2 linked regions of the Nothobranchius furzeri genome follow. The protein of the gene in region 1 interacts with the protein of each later gene in a biochemical or structural test. Links are inferred from orthologs where the notes say so. Each region holds a gene or a part of one and is shown on either strand. Other genes may lie near its edges.

Region 1 (10,439 bases):
GTAAATGGCCTCCGCTACCGTCGCCCGTAGGAGCTTCAGTAACTCAGCCAGACTGTGGCTAACCCGAACCCCAAAGTTTCTCAGTAGAGCTTTCTAATTCTCTAATTATTGTTGCCTAATTATATTTTTCATTAGTTATATTTTGAGTTTCAGTGACTTCTGTGAATTTAGCCTTCTCTTTAATGGAAGGATATGAATAAATGTGAGAATTACTGTGTAAACGTGGCTCACATCCTAAAGTAGAGAGGATTTGTTTTCACAGAACCAGCTAACAATAAATGCATTATATCATATGAGTGAATAAGTGTAATGTAGTGCATTTGTCTGTTGGTCAAAATGTGAAAGTTGAAATGTTTCATTAAAAAAGAGGATCACTCATCTGGGCTAAGCCCCGGATCTTTTTCAATCCTAAATCCGCCCCTGGTTATGCTGCTGTTACCTTTGGTTTGGTGTCCTCTGTTTGTGCGTCCCTCTCTCCTCTCTGGCTCCGAGTTGGCTCTGGGTAACGTAGCAGGTCCCGAGCTTTCTCCATGAGTGGCACTGGGAGGGGGCTTGGGTGGCCGAGGAGGGGGCGCTGGGATGGAAGCGTGGAGCTCTGCTGGTGTGAGGGAGTCTACACTGGGCGTTGATGATGGCCGGCGAGGAGGAAGCTGCTGAGGTGTGGAGGCTGACGCTGGACGGGGGACCTGATAACCGCTATTTGCGAACGAGAGGTCCCCGCCCACATGTGTGTCCTCTCTGAGCGAGGCGGCCACAGGACGCAGGTGGAAATCTAGAGAGTGTTTTCTGGGATGAGGAGAGGGGTGACAGTGAGGCCTGCCGGCCCGTTTGTGGAAGTCAGAGGTCATGCTGGCGTCCAGCGATTGGCTGAGGGGGCTCGTCATTGCAGATAGAGTCCAGGGGGCTGTCCTGACGCTGGAGGATGGAGGGGGGAGGCTGTTGGGAGGGAGGGACGGAGAGGAGGAGGAGGAAGAGGAGGTGGAGGTGGCTGAAGGATGAGGGAAGATGTTGTCGTTGTAATCAGTTTCCAGGGAAGTGAAAGAACCCAAAGGAGGCCTGAAGAAAAATACGAGTTATCCTAACCTAGCTTAGATTAAAAAGGCTGCATTTGGGTTTAATCTAGCTCAGTAAAAGAAAACAATGATGTTTTTTTTCCTTTAAAGTTGTAATACAAAAAATAGCCAAGAATCTGTGGATCCTTTCCACAGATGCACCAGGAACACGTGGGTGTGACTGAGGCGGAGGACCTCCATCCTTCAGTCCGACGTGTCTGAACCTGAAACTCTCAGCTGCTCTGTTCTGGTTTTTCCTGGAGATCCTCGGCTTGTTCTAACACCCGTGGTTCTAGGAACTAAATGAGCTAATCTTTCATGGCACATCTGACTCATTACGGATGCGAAAGAGGCCTGAGCTAATCCCTCTGATTGTCATCAGTGTGTTGTTAGTCTCACTGGATCCAAACAGTTGGGAAGCGCATGAAACTGAAGCAAGCTGCAGCACGTTTGGCTCGTTTTGGAGGCGTAGGAAACGAATTTCACTCTTTGATGTAACGTCATTAGCCCTCATCTTGCTAATACCGGGTCATTAAGTTGTAAGATCAGGGAGGTTTGAAACTGTTAAATCCAGCTTTAAGTAATAATTTAGTTCTGTGTTTGTGTTTTTTACCCCATGTGACTCTGGCAGTTTGACAACCACAGGTAGTCTTCCTCCGTGCTGCTGTCGTGCTCCAGGTGACGCACGCCCACCGGGTCATACGGAGGCGGGACAGACCCAGTTACCATAGAGATAGAGGGGGTACCACTGGTTGTGGTCACGCATGTGGAGGCGGAGCTCAAACGTCTTTCTGAAAATGTAGAAAATGGAACTGGTAACATAATCATGAACAGTCACGCGTGTTAAAACGTACTCGTCCATCACACAACAGTACTAAACTGGTTAAACCTGGACTAGATAACTAAATAAACACTAAACCAGCTGCTGGTTTAGGAACAGGACCGGCGAGTTAGCGGCTATTCCTGTCATCGACTTCAAAGCACATCTCGTTGTTGTTATGTAAACATTTACACAGCTGTACATGTTGTATTGTGGTCCTTATTTTGCACAGCAATAATATTTTGGCAGCAGAAGGAAATCCTGCTGTATTTTGACCTTTTGCTGCACCAGGAGTGCAACATTAATGGTGACATTTAGTCTGGAACAAAACCAGCTAACAAAGAAAAGTTGGTCAAATATCGTTCGCATTTCTATAATTGGAATTTAAGCTAGTTTACAAAAGGGACCCTGCTGATGCGTTGTGTCTCAGGTAAGGTGTCAGAGAGGAGGGGGAGTGTGTGTGTGTGTGTGTGTGTGTGTGTGTGTGTGTCTGTGGGTCAAAAAGAGCTAAAAAACAAAAATAATCCTTTAACGTCATTAGAAAAGTCTAAAAGGCCAAATTAGAAGTTTAGTTAAAAACGACTGATAACTTTAAATTCTGTCCATCACATCAGTTCCGTCTGGTGTATTAAAACGGTTAAAATCAGATTATTTTCTTTAATAATCTAATCTAGATTAAGCAGACAGAATCTTTTCCTAGATGGTGCGGTGCGGCAGAACCCCAGCCCAAGTGGAGCATGGGCCGGAGGAGGTCAGGTCCATGTGTGCAGCAGCCCTAACACTGACCAGCTAAAGCACGAGGGAGGATGTGACACGGACACGAGGCGCTTACACGTCAGACATCAGGGACAGGTGTGAGGAATCAGTTAGCCAGTTAGATGGTATCTGATCTATAAACACGGGCACCCTGACTGTCAGCCTGCTGCTGTAGTAAATACTTACACTGGACCATGCAGCCGAAACATAAAATCCACTCATCTCTGCAGAAAACTATCGCCTTCATGCATCTGCAAGCAGACATCTGGTAAAAAGTTCACTTAAGCTGTAGAAAGACCCGGTTTAGATGGATGATTACAGATTTCTACATTTTGCTGTAAGACGTCCTTCATGACTGACTCAGTGACAGTCCCAGCGACCTCTCTGTCCCTCTCTTTCTCTGCTGCTTTCGTGGTTTCTCCTCCTACCAGTTTTCACGCTGACTCAGCATCAGCCCACACAGACCAACCGTCCATCTCCAAACACCAAACAAGTCAAATCTACAGGCATGTCTTCCAGCCTGAGTGTGCCGTACCGTCATCCGTTGGGTTGAATCCACAGAGGAGGCAGATGGACGTCACCCAGCGGTTCATGTCCTCCTCGGACTCGGCCACCAGGTACCAGGTCCTCTCCTCCGTCCTCAGGTCAAACACGAAGCTGCTCTCCAGCTCTTTCTTTGTGAAAGACAAACCGGCGTCCACCTGGAATTGAGACAAGGAACATCCAGACTCGTGAAACACGTCAACGCGACCTCTGACCTTTTCTCCAATCACGTTTTACAACACGTACCTGTTCACACAGATTCAGATTGATGGTCCCAATTGGCCGACGGGAATTCTGGTTCTTGTAGTACTGCAGAACGTCGGGTTCTCCACTGAGTCGACCGCTCCTCAGAACAAACCAGCGCCTTTTCCACGCCTGGACAGACGGTTGGAGAAAAACATCAGCTATCCAAGAGCGTTCTAGACTTCTCCTGTGGACATTCCTGCAGCTGGGAACTAAAGTAGGTTACTGACCATGGACGTAATTTTGGGGGGGACAGGGGGGGGACATGTGCCCCCCACTTTTTCCAAAGTCAAGTTTTGACCCCTGCACTTTTTACCATCCAAAAACAATATTACGCTATTCTAATTTGACACTGGTTGAGCTCTAGGACCAAGCGGAAAACAACCATTTGTGTTGAAGCCTGTTTCCCATTAGAGTATACTGTAAAGATCCCCCCCCCCCCCCCCCCCACACACACACACTTTTAAAGTGAAAATTACGTCCATGTTACTGACTGTAGAGTCTGATTATGTAATGGTCTTTTCTCTCCCTCCATCAGCTTCTGCATGTTCTAGCTCCAATATCTGACACTCCGGTTAGCACAAACATTAAATCACCCAAAACGGAGATGAAGGTGATTTTTAAATGTTGGACAATGTTTTCTGGATGTTTCCTTCATGCAAGGAGCGTTACGGGTGGAGGACATCTCCCACACCCGCAGGATGGCACCTCGTGTTTCAGACATGACTCACTGCCCGTGTGTGTGTGTGTGTGTGTGTGTCAGAGGTTGTAGAGCGCTAGTGTGTAGGTAGTGCTAAATGCGCCTGATGATTTTTAAAGGTGTGAATCAGAGCATGAAGAAAGGTTTTTATTTAAAAGCGTTGTGTGGAACGACAGACGTTAAACTGAACAGCAGGATTTAGCTTGGTGCTTCTGTGGAGGTTGAAGATGTTTTAGTGTGTTCCTCTGATCAAAGGTGACCTTCTTTAAAGCACTTGGTTCTCTCCCAACACAGACAGGAAGAGGAAGTAGCTGGACAGGAAATGCTGGTAAGAAGTGGCAGTGGAAGTGTGTGTTTATTCTCTTCCCCCAACAATCTGTTTGATAATCGCTTGTCCCGAGGCTCCAGCCTGATGGACGCAGGCGGGAGTCCGTAGGAAAATATTGTTTCTGTTTTTTTCTAAACGGAGAAACTTTTGTGCAACGTTTCTTTTGGCCATGCCTCGTTTCAGACCGGGTTTATTCAGTCGGGTTACACGGTAAAGCCTCTGCTATGTTCTCTGGTTGTTGGAATAAACACAACTGTTTTTGGTGTTTGTGTGATGTTGTGTATTTTTTAAGGCGCAGGGCTTATTTATTACTTGTTACCCTCATTTTAAAGTAATTCATTACATTACAATATTACTGATTTTAAAATGTAAGGCATTACACTACTTTTGCATTACTTTAAGTTACTTTCACCAAAACAACTTCAATATAAATCTGGTCATGTGACGCTCAGTGAGCTCATGACATATATGTGGAAAGTGATGTGGTGTCTGAGCTAGGATTGCTGTTAAAAACAGTCAGATATAATAACAGTGCTTTAAAATGATTGTTTGTTAAATAAAAGCAACAATGATCTGTACTCTCAGCACGCTGCCATCTTAGATTAGCTGAGCAGGGAGTGAGGTGGTGGGGGCTCCAAGCCTATATTTGCCTTGGTCCCCAAATGCCTTGATACGGCCCTGGATGTGGGACTGACTTCTGGGGTGATCTGATTCTATCACATGTATAAATATTAAATGCTTATATATTATTGCTTTTCACTGGTAAAAATGTGTGTTGGGGATAAATCTACCTACTTTTTTCTTTTCAAGCACTTTGTTTTGTTTTCTTGATTTTATGTGAATAATTTCCTGCCCTTTCTCTCTCTAACCTTCCTGCATGCTGCATGTTTTCTCCGTCTTCTAGAAAAACTGTAAACTAGATTTCCTAGTTTCTAACTAATCAGCCAAAGGGATCTACCGAACACAAAAATAAATAAATAAATAAATAAATAAAAAAAGCTTTGCGCTGCACTCCAGCAGCAAGGAGTTGAAATCACCGGTGCACAGATTATGAACTCAGCTGAAAAGTACATGAAGTACCAGAGAATATGGGCTGATATAAACCATCGCAAACGAATTACTTTGTTTTGGTGGAGCGATTTTGTGAATATAATAGCGGCCGCGCGCAGGACGCAGCTGGAGTGTTTGAGCCATTACCACTGCGTCCTCTCTGCTCATAGAATGCCCGCAAAGCTGAGTCCATAAATGACGTCATATATGTGGATACTGGATCTTTTTTCAGGCTTCCCGCAATTAGAATTTTTAGGAAACCCGCATCTAGATTCTGGGTTTAAAAATGCATTGTAATTACCGCGTTACTGACAATTGTACCGAGTAAATATTACCATTTTCTTTCCCTGTAATGCCTTACATTACCACATTACAGCAAAAAGCAATGCATTACAGTAGTTAATTACTTATGTACCGCGTTACTCCCAACACTGATTGGGAGCACATAAGAAATGCTTGCGTGGCCGTGCAGCTACGGTTCTGATGTATTTTTAGAGGTGCAGCTTGACGACAACGATTCATATTTAGAGCATGAATTAACCCTTTGATGCATGAATTATGAAATCTTCAACCAAGATTTTTGAAACAATTGTTTTTCATACATATTTGGGTGTGAATGAAACAAATTTCAACCAATATTTTTTATAACGTTGAATAATTTACAAATAATTTCTTACATGTCCACCTCAGTTGTACCGAAATATGTTGGCTTGACTTACTGAAGTCCAAATGGAGGAGCTCAAATTCATTAAAGTCTTCAACAGCTGTGCTTAATGGCAAAATTAAATAAATAACAATTTTGAGTACCTGTCCACTTTAGTGACCGTTATGCATCAAAGGGTTAATATTCCCCAACTGGGGGCCTTTGAGCCCAAATGGTTAATTTTCTTTAACTCGTAATTTTTTTTTATTCAGTTATCACTTACTTTTGATTCTCTAATGAGTTGTATATGAATTATTTATTTCTTTTTTCTATTTTGTTTTTATTTTGTGTGTTATGTTTTAATTGTATATTAATTAGTTACTATGCTCATTTAATCTGTTTTTTTCTTGTTTTTTTCTTTCTTTCTTCTCCTTAGCCATCGTGTTCAGTATAACATCTTGCCACTGGACTACAGTTGAAAATTAGCCTGCTGGCTAACACTGGCACATTTACAGTAACGTATATTAATGTGCACGGTCCTTAAATAAATAAATGAAATGAAATAATCAGGGCTGCATGGTGGCGCAGTGGTTAGCACTGTTGCCTCGCAGCACGAAGGTTGCAGGTTCGAAACTCGGCTGTGGCCTTTCTGTGTGGAGTTGGGTGTTCTCCCCATGCATGCGTGGGTTTCCTCCGGGTACTCCGGTTTCCCCCACAGATCACAACATGCCCTATAGGTTATACATTGTAAGTCGCTTTGGATAAAAGCGTCGGCCAAATAAATAAACATAAACATAAGGCGTTACCCCCCCACCCCACAACCCCCCACCCTCCCTGAGATGTTAGGAATAACAAGGGTGATGTTTTAAGTAGATCCTGATTCTAATCAACAGGATCAAATATTAGCGTTCTCCGTGCTTTCTCCGCCTGTTTCCATGAACATGTCTGACTTTAATATTCATGCATAAAAAATAGTAATTTGGTTAAAAAATAAAAACACTGTTGAGACTGGAGAGGTTTGATGACAGATGAGTTTTGATCCGAGCAACATCAGCAAACCACATAAAACTTTATTTCTAACCACTAAACTGAACCAGAGAATAAAAAAAGTTTAAAAAGCGCTTTTTAAAAATTATTCTGTGAAGAAGTGTTCTATTTTTGATTTAATCATGTGAAGGCGACATATTAGTAATAATAGAGATAAGTTATTTTCCTGCAGCGATCTCCTCTGGTTTCCTGATGTTTGCTCCTTTGACCTTTGACCTCAGCCGGAAGCAGCTACAATAGAGTTAAAATATCTCTTCCCTTTTCCTGCCTCCAAACTAAAATTACCCCCAAAAGAAACATCTCCTTATTTAGATGAACCCTCTACATGTCGATTCTCTCTCACCAACTTTAGAGCCGAGTCCATGAAACCTCAGACGTGACGTCGCCATCAGACTCTCAGAGGGTGGCTGTGGCTCACTCATTTATCGATCCCGAAAGTCATGGAGAACTTTTAATGGTTCCATCACAGGATGAAGAATAAAACTCAACAATGTGAAATCAGACTTGTTTACATTTGAAAACAAGTTTCAGGTCAGCTTCCCTCCCGTCAGACTGTCATAAACGCATCTGTGACGCGTACACCCGCTGACGTCAGCGACGTCACGTTTACGCTCTCTCCGCGTTTCCAGATGCCCTAAAAGCTTCCAGGCAGGCCCAGCTGAGAGCGATTAGTTTATTACGCAACACACACTCTCTCACACCCGAACGCACTTTCTCCTACACACACACACACACACACACTGCTTTCGACAGAGCAGGGAGGTTAAGAGGAGGTAGGCTGCAGCAGGAACTTCATCCACATTCTTTACAGGAACACGTGGAGGCTGCTGCAGCCTTTAGGGCCGCTCGAGTCTGGTTTTATGGTGTTGACAATGGAAACATAGCTGTGTGTGTGTGTGTGTGTGCTAGATTGTACATGCGAGGACTAAATCTTTTTTATGATGTCTTCCTCTTTGGTTTCCCCTGCTGACCGCCTGTCCTGTCCAGTGGTTCCCTCCTAAAAACCTTTTCCTGCAAACATCTCTGAAACCAGCTGATTCGTTAGAAGCATGCTGGGATGTCCCATATCTGAGCTCGTTTTCTCTGAACTGAAGGTTTCAAACAGCAACGCTACTAAAAATAGATCCCTCTTGCTCTGATTTAGTCCTCCTTTACTTTCCGTACAAACAGAGAAAGGAAGGCATGTGACCAAAGGAGAGGAAGAGAGAGTACAACAAATGAAAGAGAAAGAGTGATGGAAGAGTAGACCGCAGACATTGTTCTGCTTCTCCCTGCAAACGGGAGGAAATATGGAGGAGAGATGAGATTAGGTCAAGTCACGGGGAAGGCATGTCAGAAATGTGGTGTGTGTGTGTGTGTGTGTGTGTGTGTGTGTGTGTCCGATCCAGCTCTCTGGCATCAGGTGTTGGAGATTTGAATTTAAAGATGCAGAATGAACTTTGTGTCGTTTCCACTAACCGTTGAGTTAACTGTTAAAGATTTACAGTAGGAAATGGAAACCTGGTGCTGTGGATCCAGATTTAACAGTTTGGTTTATTATCAGCAGACAAAAGTTAGATGAGAACGTTTCTGGGTCTCAGCTCAGCGGCTGCTCTCTGCTGGACGTGTTTATTGTTTTACAGTCATGGCTTTAGGAAATGACTCACGTCCACGGTGACAGCACACCGATGATGATTAAAGTTAAGAAAAAATACTCAGATGAGCATCCATCAACACCAGTCCAGTGCCGGTGGAGTGTGTTTAATCTAGTTAGAAATAAAGAAATAGATGAGTTTTTGAAACTGAGAGGACTCACGTATCTCCGTAGCTTCTTCTCTGGTGGGGATTTCCTCAGCCATCCTTCACACACCACATCTGCCGCTCCGCTCATCCTGATGTTTCTGGTTAGTCAGTCACCCTGTCAACAGCCGGTCGGGAGTCAGATCAGGTGAAGATCCCGTCTGAATCCACAGACTCAACCAGCAGAACCTCGCACCAGACTCCAGCCGGCAGGAGTTTGAATCAGAAGAACCCAAAACAACTCAGGACCTCAGATCAGCTCTGTCCTCACACACGTTTCCCTGGCTGAGAAGAATCCTGTTTGGGAGGAGCTCATCCACACACACACCAGAGCTGCTCCGCGTCTGCTGACTAACGCAGTCACACCTCCTCCTGAGAGACTTATTTCCCAACAGAATCACTCCTCCCTCCATAACCAAACACAATCCCTCAGCTCAGACATTCCTTCTCTCCTCTCCTCCCTCTCTTTGGCTCCTCCCCTTCCTGCTCACTCCCCCTATTCTGTTAGACAGGAAAAAAATCCCCCCCCCCCCCATGTGTGAGGAATGGTTTTCAAACAAAACTTTCAGTAACCGTCGCCAGTTTTCAGGTCTTCTGATGCAAAAAACTAAATCCCGAGTTATGAGAACGGACATTTTTCAATGTTTTTACTAAATTTTTCTGAGAACTGTCGAAACCCCCTTGATGATCGATTGTATGTTAAAATAAGTTTTCAATACAACAAATATCAGGCATCATTTTGTAATATTATACCAATATTTACCACAGCCACCACTCTGTGATAATTACTATTAAATGATTACATTTCATAAATAAACTATAATGTTTTTTTCTTCCACATCATTCATCAGCGTTCCCCTGAGCTTTACACTCACACACACTGAACCGTTTTTATTACCAAACTCATAACGTTCATGCACAAGCGCCTCTGCTGTTCTGCCCTTAAAACAGACGCAGGTTTAGTCGTGAATCTCTGGAGCTGCGCACTTACCATACCGACTGGTTTGTGGACTGCTGCTCCACATGGGAAGACAAAACAATAGAACTAATGACAAGGAGGCGAACGGGGGGTGACTCTGGGGGAATGCCCACCCTCTGGAGAACACCCTGCATTGCTCCAGTGCCCAAAAATAACCGGGCACGTGAGCCAAATGACTTCCAAGTAGAGGCGCTCGCATCACACCTAAGGGTGACCAGATCCCAACTTGGCACACGTGGGACAGAGACAACTCAAATATGGGACAACGTTAAGCTCCACTTTAATGAGAAAAAACAAACACACAAAACGTATATTCTGCCTTTTAGCCCTAACATCACTGTTACATATACATACAATGATTATTCTTATTATTAAATATTTCTTGTATATATTTCATTTGAATTCAACATGAAGAAGCATACAGCAAAAGCTTTACTATTTCACTGTTCCCCTCAAGTTACCACATTACTCAGTAGTGGCTCTGATCATTTTAATAACA
Region 2 (10,439 bases), on another chromosome or scaffold:
ATTATAGTTTTAATTATCTTATTTTAGTACCTAAAATAGAACAAACAGCTCTAATAGAAATATTCACCATTTATTGTCAAGAATTATATTAAGAAATATTGTTCTTTGCATTTTTATTCTTTTGAATTAGGGTTATTTAATACAGTTTAGCGATAAAATACACTATTTAGAGGTAGCAATGTATTAATAATTCATTAATGTAATAATAAGTTAACAACATATTATTATTGAAGTAATACTGTAAAATAATGATATAACCTCAAACATTCTAGTTTTTTTATATGATTAAAATATGTTTTTTTTCAGTTATGCTTCAGAAGAAGGGACTAAAATGTAATTCAGCTAAAATTGCTGATATGTTACAACAGTGATTTATATTATTTTAAATCATAATAATTCAGTTTCAGTTCCTGCTTCTTACTTAGCTTCTTGATTATTTGCACAAAATAACCTAAAATATCAAAAAAGGCCAAATGAGTTCATTTTCAACCTTTAACTCTGAATTATTTTATGATTTGTTGATAAATAACACATTATAATAGTCATAATGGGAGATGACATTTTAGTTGTGTAGTTTGAGTTCTTTTAAATGAAACGTTGACTAAGGCGTAGAAATCGGTTCCTACTTGGGTCACGGGGGGGCTCCTGGTGTCTGCGCTGCCGTCGTTCAGAAAGATCTGTCTGGTTTTAGAGATGGATGTGGTTCTGTAGAAGTCCACCAGCTTGTTGATGGAGGTGAACTTCTCCGACCACAGGAAGTATTGGCCTTTATTGTCTCGCATCACCTTGAAGTGCTGGACGTCGTTCTCGTGTCTGAGGGAAGACGGAGGACAAATGTCAGGGTCAGACAGGAGGAAGTCTGTTGTTCGGCTCTGGACTGTCACAGAAAAAACATTCAGGAATTCAGTTTGTGAAGCTAAAGACAAACAAAATCAACTTTTGTCCAATTGGAATAATTTAAAATCAAACAATTTTAGACACATTTAAACTGGAAAACAGCTAAATCTGGAAATGCACCGCCTCTGGTTTTGAGGACCAATACCGATTTATCTCAAAGGGAAACCAACATTTAACAGACGATGACAAGTTTTTTAAAACATGGAAATAAAAACCTGGCATGTTAACATCAATGAGGCCCTGTACACACCTAGCCAGGTTTCCCACAAAACTAAATCGTTTTTCTACATTTGGCCTGTCATCAACACAAAAGTGAAAATAAACGGCACAAAAAACAAGTCTTTCAAAAGATCTGACCAAAGTGGAGATTTGGAAATTCTACGTTGTTTGTGTGCGTGACTGACGATGATTTTAGGTCTCACTACGTCAGTGGCCACGTCAAAAAGGCTCATGTGCAACCTGTGTTTATACCCTATTGTTTACAAGCTCAGTCACTGCTATGTGCAGAAGACTTCAGGCGAAGAAGGACAGTTATAGTTTTCTCATGTCCAACAAATGTATTTTGGCAAAGAGAACACATTCACACACTGATGGTGATGAGCTACAATGTAGCCAAAGTGACCTGAAACTCCTACAGAGAGTTGGCCTTCAAGTTTCCGTTTTCCTAAGAACACAACAACCCTGCAGATTTACTACAATACATTCTAAACAGAGAGTAACCATCACATTGTTCTTCTATTCCTCCTATGGAGCTTTGAGTTATATATATATATATATATATATATATATATATATATATATATATATATATATATACATATACTGTATATATATAAATATATATATATATATATATATATATATATATATATACAGTATATATATATATAGTGTATATATATATATATATATATATATATACTGTATATATATATATATATATATATATATACTGTATATATATAGTGTATATATATATATATATATATATATATATATATATATATATATATATATATATATATATATATATATATATATATATATATATATATATATATATATATATATATATATACACATATTTACATATTCCAGGATCAGACTTTTTTTTTGTGCCAGAAATGTGAAACATTTTTTTCAGGATGAAATGGAGCATTCTGGCTCATTTTTTATATTTTATTATGAAAACCAAAGTGATTCCCAGTTTCCTACATCCCAAGGCTGGATTGTCCTCTGCTGGTCAATGTGGAAAACTGCAACAACCATGTTTCAACTGATCAGGAAGTAACATGGAGATGAGTTTATAGTGTATTGGAATAGCTGACATTACGCCTGGACCATTGTATATCATCTTTTTTATTCACTCTTAACAAATAATTCAAAATCATTTTAGGATGATTTATGTCACCATCCTTTAAGCTTTAATTTAAATATTTTATTAGGTCACTGTTCATTTTGCTTCAGCGTCCAGATGTTTGAAATAATTCAGCTTCAATCTGCTGAAGAAGGATGGAAGTGGTTGATCATTGTCCATGCAGAACTTGGCTTTGCATACACACACACACACACACACACACACACACACACACATATATATATATATACATACATACATACATACATACATACATACATACATACATACATATTTATACATATATATATATATATATATATATATATATATATATATATATATATATATTTATAAATATGTATACCGTATGTATGTATGTATGTATACATACATATATATATGTGAGTGAGTGTGTGTGTGTGTGTGTGTGAGTGCGCGCACCATCAGAACAGCTGAAGAGAATTTAATCATCAGCACTTTTCTGTACTAAAGCGGTGAAACCAACCGAAGCGTCTACTCAGAGGACAGAACTTTGTCTCTGATCAGTTTCATTTGTCTTGTTTAGATTTAGTTTAATAACAAGTCTTGCAGAGTTTTGGGAAACTAATGTGTGTAAAAGATGAATTATTTCTGATGATGAAACCAGAGCAGGAACAGGTTTTACAGAAGAAACACGCCAACAGAAATTAAATCACTTTCACACAGAAACTAAAATATGATCTAAGGAAGTTCGTCTTTCTAACAGGAAATGTATTTTAGTCCCGATCATAATCCAGATTATTTGGTTATTTACCAGCGGAAGCCAGACCAGATTAAATAGGTACTTCAGGCACTTGAAATTTAACCTCTGAGACAGATGTTTCTGCTGTAGGTCAGTTACAGAGAGCTTCATTTACGCTTCTTTTTCTTCACCATTTGTCCACAACTCCTGCCAAAGTCTCACACTTTACCTCAGAAACTAAACCGAGACATGATTCAGACGTCTGCAACAACTCTGATTAATTTCAAGCAATAATTGTCTTTTTCTCAGTATTTGCAAAACCTCAGTAACACGAGGGAGCGACGCCCCGAGACTCACTGGAGATACCCCACAGCATTTTGAGACACTTTGGAAACTTCCTCGTAAACATCGCTAACGGTGAGGTTCAGGAATGTTGGAAATGTTTGAACTACTCGGAATATTCTCAGAATCAGTGCAGGTATCTGGACTCAGCCTAAAACCCATCCGAAACCTGACCCAGTCAAGCTTCTAAATCAGAAAGCACAAAAGCACGAGACAAGTTAAGGAAGAATCGAGATAAAATTGAGAACTAATAAATAAACTTCATGACTAAATAGTGATAAAAAAAATTAGCACCATTGAAATATGTTCTCGCTCACATCTTGTGACCCAGATGAACTTATAAAAGCTTCATAGGAAGTCTGATTCCAGCTTCAGGTTTTGTCCCAGTTCTGTCTCCAACAGTCAGGGAGATTCTGGATTCCTGTTGCTAAAGTTGAGCTCACATCAGAGCAGAGACTCAGTGGACCTACTTGACGGAGATGGAGAACTCTCCAGGAGAACTCTGAGATCCTCGGATCAAGAAGTCTCCCAGGGGTTTGTTCCTCAGCTGGTCCTCTGCAGCAACGCGACTGATGTTCTCCCGAAACCACCTGAACAACGAGCAGTGGGTTGTTGTGTTGGGGACTGAGTTAATGTGTGTGTGTGTGTGTGTGTGTGTGTGTGTGTGTGTGTGTGTGTGTGTGTGTGTGTGTGTGTGTGTGTGTGTGTGTGTGTGTGTGTGTGTGTGTGTGTGTGTGTGTGTGTGTGCGTCTATCTCACCCCGGATGCTGCAGATCGATGTAGTTCTTGGGTATGTATCCTTCCTGCCCACTTATCTCAGCTTTACACCAGTCTTCCTCCAGACTAAGGATCTGAGCGGGAACACAGATTCAGGACCCACATCGGCTCATAAATCCTGACACCTGATGATTCAGACTCACCTTCAGGATGTCACCCTTCCTAAAGCTCAGCTCATCGTCTGCTGTGGCAGTAAAATCATACTTTCCTCTTGACTCCATTAGGAACAGCGTTGGTTAGAAAAATAGGAGACAGCGGTCCACGACAAGTGGGTTTCTGCAGAGACAAAGAAAAAGAAGGAAGATTAAGGAAGTTTACACTCTGTCCGTGGCTCCATCTGAGAGGAAAATGTTTCATAATGTTATAATCTGATAATAAAATCCGCTTATTGACTAAACACTTTGTTTCTAACGGAAGCATTTATCTTGATATGTTTATGGTTTTAGTATCTTCACAGTGTAAAAATGAGTGTTTTAATGCTGCTTTTTCTCAACACTGCCACATAAGTCTCCAAAACAAGCTATCTGACCTATGACCTATGACAGACACTCCGAGCTCTTGTTCACAGCACTTCAGTGTGCTGTCAATCCACGAAAAAGAACAATCAATGATGAACAATAGTCTGCTTCTAGACCTGCAGGAAAGGGACACACAACAATACAACAGGAGCATGCCATCATCACTGCATCAACCTAATGAAGAAATATAAAATCATCATTGTTTTACTGAACAATCACAAAATAATATATCATAGTGCATTTAGTGGCAACGACAGCCTTAAGACATGTGTTGAACGTGCCCAAGTCCATACTTATGAGAGCACCATGTGAGCACCGGTGTGTGTACCAACGACATATACATATATGGACAATGGGTTTCCACAAGCTCAATAACACATTTTTGAAGAGAAATGGGAGGTGGCCACCACCGCCATTTTGACCGTGTCACAGGTTCTGTCAAGCCCAGACAATTCCACAAAAGGGAAGAGAGGTGGAGCTGAGGGTGGGGCTGTAAGGCTGGGATCAACTGACGACACCCGGTCGAACTAGCTACAAGCTAACCTGAAACTAACCCAAAGCTAACGCGGAGGTGGGAGCTAAGCTAACGGAGGTAGCAACCTAGCTACAACCAGAGCTCTTGAGTAAGGTGCTAGAGAAATGTGTTTATCACCAACTCTTGGTTTTTATGGACGAGAATGCCATTTTTGAGACTTTCCAGTCTGGCTTCAGAGCTCTGCACAGCACGGAGACTGCTCTGGTTAGAGTACTCAATGACATCTATCTTGCGACTGATAGCGGTAATTCTGTGTTGCTACTTCTGCTGGACCTCACGGCAGCCTTTGACACGATAGACCATGAAGTGCTGCTTCACCGTCTTCATCATTATGTCGGGATTTCAGGATTAGCCCTGGAATGGTTTAGATCATACCTGACAAATAGAAAAATGTGTGTTAGGATGGGAAGGTATTCCTCAGAGTACTCTGATCTACCTTGGGGGGTACCACAGGGCTCGATATTGGGCCCTCTGTTGTTTTCTATTTACATTCTACCCTTAGGTGACATCTGTCGTGAGCTTGGAGTTCAATTCCATCTTTATGCTGATGATTGTCAGCTGTACCTGCCTCTGAACACGTCAAGTGGTCTCTCTATTTCTATTCTTACAAACTGTTTGAGGGAGATCAAGACCTGGATGACTGAAAATTTTCTGAGCCTAAATGATCAGAAAACAGAGGCTATATTGTTTGCTCCAAGCATACATTGTGACTCTTCCCTAACTGACTGTGGGTCATTTAAGGGACAGCTGTCTACATCGGTGACTAATCTTGGTGTTAAACTAGATAGCGCCCTTAGTTTTGATACCCACATCAATGGAGTGATCTCCTCCTCCTTTTTCCACCTTCGTCGGCTGGCAAAGCTCAAACCATTTCTGTCACGTCATGATCTTGAGACGATGGTCCATGCTTTTATTACGGTGCGATTGGACTACTGCAACTCTGTTCTATTCGGTGTGAGCAAGGGCTCAATAGCCAGGTTGCAAATGGTGCAGAATGCTGCTGCCAGATTTTTAGAGGGCAGGCGCAAGTTTGACCACATAACTCCTGTCCTGGATGCGCTTCACTGGCTGCCCGTTGATGTTAGGATTCATTTTAAAATACTTTTACTAGTTTTTAAAACTTTAAATGGTTTAGCCCCTCCTTACTTGGTGTCACTACTTCAACCATACACCCCTTCACGGTCACTCCGCTCGGAGAACTCCATGCTCCTCTCGGTCCCAAGAACGCACCTAAAGACGCGTGGTGATAGGGCCTTTGCTGTGGCAGGTCCTAAGCTTTGGAATAAGATTCCTCTCAGCATAAGGGCCTCCACCTCTGTTGCAGTTTTTAAGGCAAGGCTAAAAACATATTTTTATGACCTGTCTTTTAACCTTTCTAACTAGTTTTATTGTTTTACTTATAGCGATTTTACTCACTGTAGTTTTAACTGTATCGTGTGATACAATGTTTTATTTTCTGGACTTACTGTTTTATGTTTTTATTTGATCAGTGTAGTGCCTTGGTGGCATCTTTTTGCCTGTAAGGCGCGATTTATAAATAAAGTTGAGTTGAGTTGAGTTGAGAGCTAACTGTGCACAACACCAGAGCTTCTGAGTCAGAGATACGCCGGGCTGACCGCTGGGTAAAACCGGGTGGAACACAGAGGTCTCCGAGAGCTCCACAAGCCGGCAGCCGCACAGCAGACAAGCGCCGCTGCGATCTGAGATGCGCAGAGCTGCCGCTAGGGAGAACCGGGTGGAAAGGTTTCCATCCCAGAGCTCCACAAGCCGTCAGCCCGCGCAGCAGACAGGGGCCGCAGCGATCAGAGATGTGCTGAGCTGCGGGGAGGGGAGAAACGGGTGGAAAACATCGGTCTCCTGAGAGCTCCACAAGCTGATAGTTGGAACCAGGGGCGTAGCACCAAATTCTGGGCCCTAGGTACAAGTCTTCTAGGTGGGCCCCCATGCTCAATTACTTAATATCTCTCTTACACATTTTTTGTCATGCTATAAGACAAGACAATAAATATGATCTTAGTTTAACCTCTATATTGAGCAAATACAAATGCCAGCATAATAAAAGTGAAAAGCCCAGACTTCACATATAATTATTTTTATTTGCCAACAATGTGTTCAAACAAAAATCCTGGAATTTATTTTCCAGTAAATGCCCACTGACGGGTCTTCATGTTAGCAAAATCACTTATGAGATCTTTAAAGTCCAATCCTTTGGCTAATTGGCTTTCAATAGAAAGAAGAGCTAGGCTGTTCAGTCTATCCTGGGACATTGTTGATCTCAAATAATTTTTCACCAGTTTCAGTTTGCTAAAAGCCCGTTCACCCCCAGCAACAGTCACAGGTAGTGTGCAAAATATCCTCAGTCCAATATAAACTTCTCCAAAAATGCTCTGTAATTGCATCCTGTAGATGGCATTAAGCAGCTCAAGAGGAGACCGAATGTGTGGAAATGTGGCACCATATATTGTTCTCAGGTGTAGCATCTCATTCTCAAATTCAGCTGTGAGATCCTTGTAATATTTTCTCATCAGTGCCTGGCATGATATCTTCATCTGCTCTTCAGTCATGTCTGTCATGGTTCATGATGTTAAGCTTTGCTGATATATATTGATATATTAAATACATATGACATGAAATAAACCAGGTTCTCTCTGTGAATGTAATGTACTCTAAATTTTATAATCCCTGCATTATCAGCCAAATTATAAGATTGTCCGTTTTCAAGATCAAATATAAAGAAATATAAAATAGGCTTAAAATATCTAACCAGGTCAATAACAATCCTCTAACACCAGTGTCATCATGCTATACGAAAAACAGTGGCAGCTTCTCATTCCTGAGATTACCACGAATCCATCGATACCAAGTTTGTCCTGGTCCATGACTGGGAAGGAGCTGAAATATCCACACAGAGTGAACCTGTTTTTACTGCGAGGTCCGCGAATTAATTGGCGGCGGCCGCCCGCGATAATAATTCTGATTAATATATATATATAAATTTATTAGTGTTATCACTGATAACAGTAATTAATTTATATTTGATCTTGATGGTGAAACTAAAGGCGTTTAACACTTTCTTTCTTCTTTCTTTCGGTCTTTATTTTGGTTTATAGCATTAACATAAAATTTTTTTTTCAAACAAAACAATATTAACAATTTGAATTTAAACCAAAAAAGGAATAGGCAGAAGCAAAGCTTATTTTAGCCTACCCTATTTTCCACCTAAGATACATAACCAATATACATTTCTTTTATTTTCCCCAATATAAATAACCACAATGAAAATTCATTAATGTCTATACTTACTTTTCATACCCTGTAAATATGTGACACTTTACACCTGCTTTAAACTTTAGTAAAGAAGTACATTTCTTCAAATCATCATCTAACTCATTCCACAATTTCACACCAAGAATGGAAACACATCTTGATTTCACATTAGTTCTGGCTTTTACACATTCAAACATAAATACACCTCTGAGATTATAATGATCATCTCTTTGTTTGAAATAAACTTTTATGCAATTTGGGATATTATCATTAGGGATGCACCGATGGATCGGCATTTGATCGTAATCGGCCGATAGCGCCCCTATCGGTTTTGATCGGAATTTTCAAAATAGATCAAAGCAAACCGATCAGGTAGGGTTGTCACGGTAACCAGTGTAGCGCTAAACCCCGGTAAAAAAAATGTTGACAATAATAACCGTCTTGTTTTTAAAAAACTATATTATCTTGGTGGGTTTACCGTGGCTGCGGTGTAGGCGCGGTGACCCTTACCAGCCACCGTATCATCTGCTGAAGTTGCCGGCGGCACATACACGCTTTGTTTACAACAAAACTTTCTTGAAGCTAAAGCTGAAATAATGGTCAAAGGAGGAGACGGCAGCGCTCAGGAGGACATTTATTATCCCTCAAAGAAGACAAAGTCAGAAGTACGGGCATATTTTAGATATTTGAAGAATGCCGAGGAAGTTTATAGAAGACGGGCGGCTATCCTGTTTGCAGCACGAGCAGAAAAAGTGTCTGTGAAAGGCAGCAACGCTTCTTATCTCATGACACATCTGCGTGACCATCACCCACAACTCTACAGTCAATGCAAGGCAAGCTAACGTTAGCGTTTTAGCTAAAATGCGTGATCCGAGGATTTGGGTTGAGGGAGAACGCAACGAGTCGCTATATAAAGCAGCCGCAGCGCCGCTACCTGCATATAAACCGTGTCGCAGACACCGCCATGTTGAAATGACGCTATGCATTACGGGGCTCCCAGGGGCAGATAAGAGTTGGTCTCTCTCCGAGAATAATTATGAACTTAACAATGATTACTGCCTGATGACATTTTCCCACATCTGCAAAGCTCACTGGAAGGACACAAACCGAGGTCAATATTTTCCTGAAATACGGATTGCTCAAGTAAGGGTAAAAAAAAAAAGTATCTGATTAGAAGGCTACTTGAGTACTGAGTATCATCTGATCTAATATTTTTAAATGATGACATCAAACAGACATAAAATACAAAGTTATGGGCAAATATTGGTATTTTAAAGACTAAAGGGGAAAAATGTAAACAAATAAACAACATAATTACAAAATAACACATTTTAGGCTAAATTTAGACACAAACTGAGGACAATATTTCCTGACATACAGGGTTTATTTAATTGTGTGAAAATGTAGCACGTTTAAAAAAAATACCGCGATAATACAGAAAACCGTGGTAATTTTGGTCACAATAACCGTGAGGTTAAATTTTCACACCGTGACAACCCTAATACAGACCATTTTAGATTAGGTTACATTTCCTTTATTCCCAGATTATGTAGTTTGTAGCACTCATTATAATGTTGTAGAAAATTTCTGGCCAATCCACGTGATCGGTATCGGTGATCGGTATCGGTGATCAGCATTCTTTGATATCGGTATCGGTGATCGGCAGCAAAAAACCTGATCGGTGCATCCCTAATTATCATTAACTACTTTATGAAGAATCTCTAAGATTTTTACTTTAATAATATCTCCTAATTTTAGCGTTTTAGTTTGAATAAATAGATAATGGGTTGGTTCGAGGTATCCCAATTTATTAACTATTTTAATCTTCTTTTTTTGTAATTTAAATACAGTCTCAACACATGTTTTACTGCATTTCCCCAAGCCTCTGCACAGTAAGACAAATAAGGCATAACTAAAGAGCTATAAATTAAAAACAAGGCTTTTTTATTTAGTACATCACTAGTTTTATAAAGTATAGCAATAGATTTAGACACTTGCCGTTTGATATATTCAATGTGTGGT

The links.
Region 2: the proteins of GRB2-associated-binding protein 1 (region 1) and grap2a form a complex in vitro, tested with the Homo sapiens proteins (2 studies listed by BioGRID and IntAct, with this or other methods). The link is inferred for Nothobranchius furzeri from reciprocal best matches to the Homo sapiens genes GAB1 and GRAP2.

Annotation. Positions count from the first base shown.
Region 1 is NC_091742.1:87,973,778-87,984,216, reverse strand, and holds the start of GRB2-associated-binding protein 1, read right to left. Parts: upstream 9,414-10,439; 5' UTR 9,053-9,413; coding exon 8,978-9,052; intron 8,947-8,977; exon of another isoform or gene 7,547-8,946; coding exon of another isoform or gene 7,526-7,546; intron 3,547-7,525; coding exon 3,418-3,546; intron 3,330-3,417; coding exon 3,164-3,329; intron 1,844-3,163; coding exon 1,666-1,843; intron 1,057-1,665; coding exon 440-1,056; intron 1-439. UniProt on the Homo sapiens protein: Adapter protein that plays a role in intracellular signaling cascades triggered by activated receptor-type kinases. Plays a role in FGFR1 signaling. Probably involved in signaling by the epidermal growth factor receptor (EGFR) and the insulin receptor (INSR).
Region 2 is NC_091745.1:28,872,674-28,883,112, reverse strand, and holds part of grap2a (GRB2-related adapter protein 2a), read right to left. Parts: intron 4,374-10,439; 5' UTR 4,319-4,373; coding exon 4,241-4,318; intron 4,172-4,240; coding exon 4,080-4,171; intron 3,911-4,079; coding exon 3,791-3,910; intron 814-3,790; coding exon 627-813; intron 1-626. UniProt on the Homo sapiens protein: Interacts with SLP-76 to regulate NF-AT activation. Binds to tyrosine-phosphorylated shc.